2 linked regions of the Drosophila melanogaster genome follow. The protein of the gene in region 2 interacts with the protein of the main gene of each other region in a pairwise test. Each region holds a gene or a part of one and is shown on either strand. Other genes may lie near its edges. The genes, in order: CG11076 and CG9890.

Region 1 (3,959 bases), on a different chromosome or scaffold from region 2:
AGATAGGTAGCTATCAAGAATGCGCTGCCGGATTCGGTCGATGGGCTCTCCGTTGGAGAGTGGCACCAAAAAAGACATGGCCATGGTAAAGGGTGGCGCAAAAAGGGTCTGGTCGACCAGCATTTTGGTAACGCCCCGCCGCATTGGCGAGTAGGTTTTGGGAACCCGGGACTCCAAAAAATGGTACCACCGGCGCAAAGTTGGGCCAACGAACACCAGTCCAACGATGCCGAAACGGAGGGTTCGCCCCGCATCCCATTCGTCCAACGATTTCTTATCAAAAAAGAACTGGGATATAGTATCGCCCAGACACATTACCGCCGCCACATTGATGCCATCCTTTAGGTACGCTTTAAGTCTCTTCATCCTTATCAGAGATCAGTTCCATTCATAGCCCGATCCAAATTGTTTTAAATACGCAATTAAAACACAACTGAGAAATCGATTTGCTGTTGTTCGTGTAGTTTTAAAGGGTTGCCTAATAATCGCAAAGTGATTGGTGTCAATTGCTGAAGTGACAAAAATTGGCAACTCTGAATAATTATTTAAATTAAATTATGCTAGCGTATTCAACTTTTTAACGCGCGTGAGTCCTTTTAATTGTTACATGCCGAATGAGAAAACGTTAAATTGCGTTCAATATGCAATTTAATGTAATGTAATGTAAAATAACTTAAACGTTTTAAGTATCGAACTGTTTTAGCACAGAAATCTCTTTCGGAACATGCGCAACGCGTATTCTTAATATTCTTTTAAATATAAATCTTAACTTTAACCACCGCTCTTTCTCCGCAACTATTAAGGTACTGATATTAACGTCAGCTGTTCATAGTGCTGTGAACACGCCTTGACAAAGTGCAATTTTATTTCGTTATTAAATGACTACATTAATTTATGCAGCTTATATGTGATAATCTATAATCCAAATCGTTACATATTTTTATTTAATTACGTAAGTATGTGAATTTATCTTAAGTAAACTCTAATTCTTAATGGTTTCCATTCGACTTTTTTAAGCCTTCTTGTGCAATTACTTCGTCCAGGTCATTAGCGGCCGTTGCTTTCATTTAATTTAAGCTTCTTTTGTCTATTTCCCTACTGCATTTCCCGTTTTGTGACCGTTTGAATTAAATTTTTTCTTGCGCATTTTGGCAGGACCAACTTCCTCTGCTGGGTTCATTATATTTTTCTCGATGTCCTCTTCGTCTAAGAGATCTTTATATAGATCCGGGATTATTGTTTCCTTCATGAACTGCGGCGTACGACCGGTAAGCACCGACTGTCGCACATCGTCCTCTTTTTGTTCTAGCGTCTGTGTGGTGGTGTGCAGCTTGCTCCGGATCTTGTAGTAGTTAGCAGTGCTGCGAAGCTTGGCAGTAGCTTCCAAGAATTTCTCGTCTGCTTGACTAAGAGATGTGGAAATCATCTTCGGTAATTGGATGCGTTGCTTGTAGCTGCGCCCGAACAACGGATGTCGTTCTCGTAATAGGTACTTGGGTAGCGTTAGATCAGCTTGAATTGTATGTTCCTTCTGACCTGGTAGCGGTTGTTTATCATATAGACGCTTGCTGATTACCACATAGCCGACAAAGGGAATTTTCCGGAGGGCATAGGGACCCATAGATCTCAAATAGCCCAGTGCCTCGCTCTGTAACGTCGAGTTTTTGACGGCACGAACCTGGAGATCGCCCACGCTCTTCCTGCCAGGAAGCCTAATGCGCTTGCCGACTAGCAGATGTGGATCTGCACCCTTGGGACACTGGACCAGCCAGGCTTCGTCGGTCTGACCATCGAAATCCCAAAGAGCATCCCCGCAGCACTCACGAGCAGCCGCGCCTGAGGTCAGGTTCACGTACTGTTCCTCCTCCAGAAATTGGCTCCGAGGTTTTTCCTCCTGGCGGGAAAAGAGTTTTTTACTTATTTTCATTGAGCGTTGGGGAAATCAATGTATTGCAGAAAATGACCACACGTGGTACAGGTGGAAAAATACAAGGGAAATATCGATGCATCGATAACTTAAAATGATTTGAAGGAGTAAATATTGTAGTTATGTGTTTGTAAGCGTAAACACCCCTAACCTAGATAAACTATTAGATTTTAGCGATGGGTAGGAAGGAAATGTTTATAGCTGTTTCTCGCTAAAATGGAAGGGCTTAGCAAAAGTAATAAACCCTAAGTTTCCCATACCAACCAGTTTAACATAAACAAATTTATTTTTTAGGTTTTAAAATAACGCTTTTCTTCAGGCAGACAAGCCGACAAAAATTGTATTAAGACAAATATCGAAAAATTTTGTTTGCTTTTGATATCTTTTAAACAAAAATTAATTGCCAATCAGACTGACTAAGAATTGTTTACTCGCTTTTTCAACCATATCTTCTTCATCATCTTCATATCAGGATCACCAGCCGAGTCGATCTACACATGTCCCTCTGTATGTCGAGATCACAGGAACTACGAAAGCTAGATAGTGATTTAACAAGTTGAGACTTAACATTCCAGAGACGAAGAATCAGGGCAAGTTTTTTCATCGATGCTGCAACGCACAATCTATTGCCCACACGCCGCCCAAAACTGTCACGCCTACCACTATTAATATCATTTTTTGTCATATATTTTCCAAATTCTATCCATAAGCCATAAAATAATTTAAATTTCTCTTGCGTACTTGCGTTCTCTCTTGTTTTACTTATTTTTGTTGGTGCAGTTACCTCTACTCAGCCACATCAGCTTGCAATCCATTAAACCACCTTTTCATGGGTGTATCAGTCGTTAGTGTCGGGCAACCACAACAGTTACAGTTCATTGTGTATATATAAAAGTGGCATTCGGACACTCTCCTGGTGCGGTAACAACAACGTAAGTCCACATTATGGTCTGAATACGCAAAAATACTAAAACCTCGATATGTTTTGGAAGCGTAAATACTCAATATATCGCGACTACCGATTTGCTCATCACTAGGACTTCTGCTCGCCCGCACACTTCTCAGTTAGTTCGAGAAAAATGTTCGCGTTACGTGCTGCATCTAAAGCCGATAAGAATTTGCTGCCATTCTTGGGGCAATTGTGTAAGTAGCACAAAAATAAAAATTTTTAATTGATAACAATTGTATTAAATTGCGAAGTTCAGCACAAAATATGTGCTTTGGCTAATAGCGCAATTGTCGAACATAACCTATCGTTCAATAAAATGTTACGAGCGAAAAAAAATATTACATAACAATTTTGAATGATTTAAGGTTACTTCTGTTTTATAACATATATAACAGTACTCAATTTAAACGACTTTTGAAAAAAAAAAAGATTTTTTTAGTCAGACATTTGCGTGTACGTCTTTCTGTAAGTTAACTAGGTATGTACATATATTGTATGCCGATATTGTTTGACGTTTTAAATTGAATAAATTTTTTTTTCGTTATATTGCAATTGAATTCTTCACAAAGTATTTTGAAAATTAAAGTTACTTAAAAATTAAATTAATAATTAATAGTATAATATTAATTGTTCATCATTATCTTAAAAAATAATATTAAAAATTGTCGATATTGATGCCCAAATTGTTACTGTTTAAGTTTTACGATGATGTATTCTACTAGTATCACTTTCGTTAAGTATAACATAAATCTGTATATATTGGTATCTAGTGATAGGAAAATCAATAAACTGATAGTACTTTTTATTAAAAAATGATACCAATTAGCTTTACATATGGGGTATTAAGAAAACCTTTTCATACGCTGGCAATATAAATTAGCAAACTTTTCCGATCCCATAAATTTTATTCGATGATCAGGATCATCAGCCGAATGTGTTTTATTCATTCATTAAACAAATCAAGCATCTAATACAATGTTAGATACATATATATTTTTTTGCAAGCACCTGCTGCGGTGGCCTTCGACAAGTCCTGATTTTTTATTTACAATTATTCTCAAGAAGTAAGCTAGTTTTCTTTAA
Region 2 (3,919 bases):
GTCCAAGCGCTCGCTCATGGCATCCAGGGAGCTCAGCAGTCCCGCCTGGATCTCGCCATATCGCTTCATGGCCAGGACCAGACTCTCCTCGATAAGTTCGCTCTGCTGCGCGTACTCCCCGTTGTTCTGCGTTATGCCCTTTAGCTGCTCCAGACACTCGGCGGGAATGCTGCGGAAGTACTCCGCGCCCAGGGCCGGTTCCAGCTGCTTAATCCTCTCCAGCTGCTCGGCCTGCGTGTGCAGCTCGGGGGCCACGGCTTGCAGGTACACCTCCTTGGAGCGCACCTGCTGGTGCTCCTCCAGGAAGTTGGGGTCCAGGTACTTCTCCAGCTCGTCAGATCTCTTCACGCACTGCTGCAGTGCAGCACTTCCTGTGGTTGCTTCGCCCAGGATGGCGTGTGCCGAGCACAGGGCGTCGACCACGCCCTCGCCCACCTCAGAGTCCTGGACCGGACCCAGGACTCGTGTCAGGGCATCGATGCGCTTCTCCAGAATGTCCAGTGCCTCCATTTTTCGCTGAATTTCTCTTTATTTTGTTCGTTTTGATGGGAATGATGTCAGTCTGCAAAACAATCGATGTCCAACGAAAAGGTGGCAACGTTAGCTTGGTGGCAAGGTTCTTGTACTCGCTAAGCAGAACGAATTAACCCTTATGCGGACTAAAAAATATGGTATTTAAATAAAATATTTAGCTCCTCTGCATAAAGTTTTTGGTGCATACGTATCTATAAATATAGTACACACTTAAATTCCATTGCTATTTACTTAGTTTCTTTTAAACGTAAACTGTACAATACAAAAATCTCAGTTACAACAGCTTAAAATTCTCGAGGGACAACCGCTCCGCATCCTTGTTGATCTGCGCCAGACTATCCTCGGAGATGATGCGCACCGTATCGACGTCCGGGTCATCGCCTCCGGAATCATCCAGCACACACAGCAGACCATCGTTCTCGATGTACGGGAAGAAGAACTCGGGCTTGTCCCAGCTCTCCTTATCGCCGATTCCGTGGTGCGACTCTTGTGCCATGTGCTCCACGAGCAGCTCCTCCTCGTCGAACTGCAGATCGCAGGTCACGCAGCGCAGCAGGCACATTTGGCGGCGCAGGTAGTTGACCACCTTGACGCGTTGGTAGAAGTTCAGAGAGCTGGTGGCCTTCTCGAAATCCAAGCGATGAACCTCGTGCATGTGCTTCTTGAGGGCGGTGAAGTTGTCGCCGAGATGGTGGCAAAACAGGCACTTAATGGAGCTAGGCTCACCATCTGCCGCCCAATCCGACCAGTCCGAATCGTGTTCGCCATCCGAATCAGGGCGAGCGAAGTGCTTGTCGAAGTCCACGCTGCCGGTTTCAGGATCAGCAACTGTGGACACGGATGCCGTTTCCCGTCTTCGCTTTTGGAGGTGCTGTTTCCGGGGCGTGGGGGCCGTTGGTACACGATTGTAGTTGATAAGGAAGTACTTGTCGTACTCCCTTCGGTTCGGATTGATCCGCTTGTGGCCCTTCTTGCGCATGTGTTCCTTGAGCGTGGGCCGATCCCTGAAGATCTTCTCGCAGTAGAGGCACATTAACCGATTCAAGTTCTCCTCCAGGTGATCCAGCAGTTCGTCCACATACACCAGCTTCTCGGGCTTGCCGACCAACAGAAAGTGCTTGTCAAACAGATGGTCCAGATAGTCCGCCCTCAATCCCTTGATGATGGCCCTGCAGAAAAGGCACTCCTTGGAGAAGGTGCGGTCGGTTAGCTCGAACTGATGTCGCTCCAGGGCTTCACTTAGGCGCTTCTCCTTCAACCTTCGCCGCAGCTCGTAGTCCTGGGGCAGGATGTCACACAGCAGGTAGTACTTTTCGTTCTTGGCGTACTTGCCATCGGGCAGCTGATCCAGGAACATTGTGGTGCAATATTGCTCGAATTCGTGGGCTAAAATGGGTAACAATTATTAAATTTTCAGGGTAGGGTTGCTGATTCTCTCACTGTGAAACTCCTTTTCCCAGTACTGGAGGTAGTCCTCCAGAAGCGCTATATCCTCCACATCGGCGATGACCAGTCGGTGCTCCATATACAAATGCGCCAGGCAGTCATCTTTATCTGACGGAAATATGTACACCTTGTCGCATTTCAGGCACTTGATGGCCGTGTTCTTGGAGGGCTTGAGTTTCGAACTGCCAGTGATCTCCTCCAGCGAGGAATCCCCTCCTGAAACAGCCACCTCGTGCTCCATTTGTTTACGTTCTCCTGGTGCTCCACGAATAAGTGTGACCGCAGGTGCTTAGCGGCAAAATACTGTTTGCGAGATAAGCTTAATTATGACGTACACTGGAAACAATTGAAAATTTAATGAATTTAATTTAATGCACAAAAAAAATTAAATAAATACTTACAACTGTCTTATGAAGACTAAATAATCAAAAAATGATATTCAGTATTTTCGATGTAGACAACACGTACTGGAAATGTTAATATCCTTATAGGATATTATACGATTCAAATATTTGTAACTTATCTGTGAATTAAAATTCTGAAACTTACAAATACATTGTTCGTTAAGTTTTCAACAGACTATGATGAATCAGCAGCATCTTATCGGTTAAAAATGTTTTTTTCGGAACTCTGTGATTCAATGCTTATACTATGGCAATAGTTAAAAATTCTTAAGTTAGTAATATTTTAGATTGTTTTTTGGGGTTGACGAACTTGAGATGTTCGCCATGTAACCATAGGGCATTTCGGCTGCTGGGTATAAAAGGAGCTGATAGTTGGGTGGGGACGTGCAGTTGAGAATCAGCAACTGCTCGCTAAAGGTCCTCCTAATCGCGAATCCATCGAAAATGGCCGACAAGAAGAATCTGCTCCTTCTGTTCGATCATCCCACGGAGCCCGTGTTCATGGACAAGGGTGGCAATGGCACCGTCTTCGACGTGCCCGACTCCTACGTGACCGATCGCTACAATCAGATGTGCAAGAAGGTCCAGCGGCGCGTGAGCAGCGCGTCCGAGAAGAACGTTCAAGTCAAGGAGATCGCCATACCGGATCTCAGTTGCTCCATGAGACTGGGCCGCTCGGAGCAGTTCTCGATCTTCCTGAAGTCCCACCGCAAGATGGCCAGCCACCTGATCGAGATCTTCACCAAAATGCAGACCGTGGATGAGCTGCAGAGCGTGGCGGTGTACGCCAGGGATCGCGTCAATCCGGTGCTCTTCAACTACGCCTTGTCGGTGGCCCTGCTCCACCGTCCGGACACCAAGGACCTCGAACTGCCCGCCTTTGCGCAGACCTTCCCGGATCGCTTTATCGACTCGAAGATGCTTCGCAGCATGCGCGAGGAGTCCTTTGTGGTGGAGCGCTCCGCCGCCCGCCTGCCCGTCGTCAGTTCGGTCAAGTACACCGCCTCCGATCTCGATGTGGAGCACCGGCTGTGGTACTTCCGCGAGGACCTGGGCGTCAACCTGCACCACTGGCACTGGCATCTGGTCTATCCCATAGAGGCGCCCGACCGCAGCATCGTGGACAAGGACCGTCGTGGCGAGCTGTTCTACTATATGCACCAGCAGATCATTGCCCGCTACAATGCCGAGCGGCTGAGCAACCACATGGCCCGGGTGCAGCCGTTCAACAACCTGGACGAACCAATTGCCGAGGGCTACTTCCCCAAGATGGACTCGCTGGTGGCCAGTAGGGCGTATCCTCCGCGCTTCGATAACACCCGGCTGAGCGATGTGGACCGGCCTAACAACCAGTTGAGGGTTGGCATCGATGATATGAAGCGCTGGCGCGAACGCATCTACGAGGCCATCCATCAGGGCTACGTTTTGGATGTGAGTGGGGAGCTCTCCGATTCCAGGAGTACATGCATCCAACAACTAATTGGTTATTTTTTAGACGAACAATGAAAAGATCGTGCTGGATGACGCTAAGGGCA

The links.
Region 1: the proteins of CG9890 (region 2) and CG11076 interact in a two-hybrid assay, tested with the Drosophila melanogaster proteins (2 studies listed by BioGRID).

The regions. Positions count from the first base shown.
Region 1 is NC_004353.4:1,028,884-1,032,842, forward strand, and holds CG11076 (uncharacterized protein), read right to left. Parts: upstream 2,093-3,959; 5' UTR 1,928-2,092; coding exon 1,088-1,927; 3' UTR 828-1,087; downstream 1-827. Other genes in the region: mitochondrial inner membrane protein MPV17, read right to left, coding at 1-366; ATPsynbeta (ATP synthase, beta subunit), read left to right, coding at 3,007-3,070.
Region 2 is NT_033778.4:23,062,001-23,065,919, forward strand, and holds CG9890 (uncharacterized protein), read right to left. Parts: upstream 2,261-3,919; 5' UTR 2,222-2,260; coding exon 1,975-2,221; intron 1,921-1,974; coding exon 809-1,920; 3' UTR 747-808; downstream 1-746. Other genes in the region: DCTN3-p24 (dynactin 3, p24 subunit), read right to left, coding at 1-510; PPO3 (prophenoloxidase 3), read left to right, coding at 2,829-3,815, 3,880-3,919. UniProt on the Drosophila melanogaster protein: DNA binding protein which is involved in the positive regulation of both basal and inducible transcription.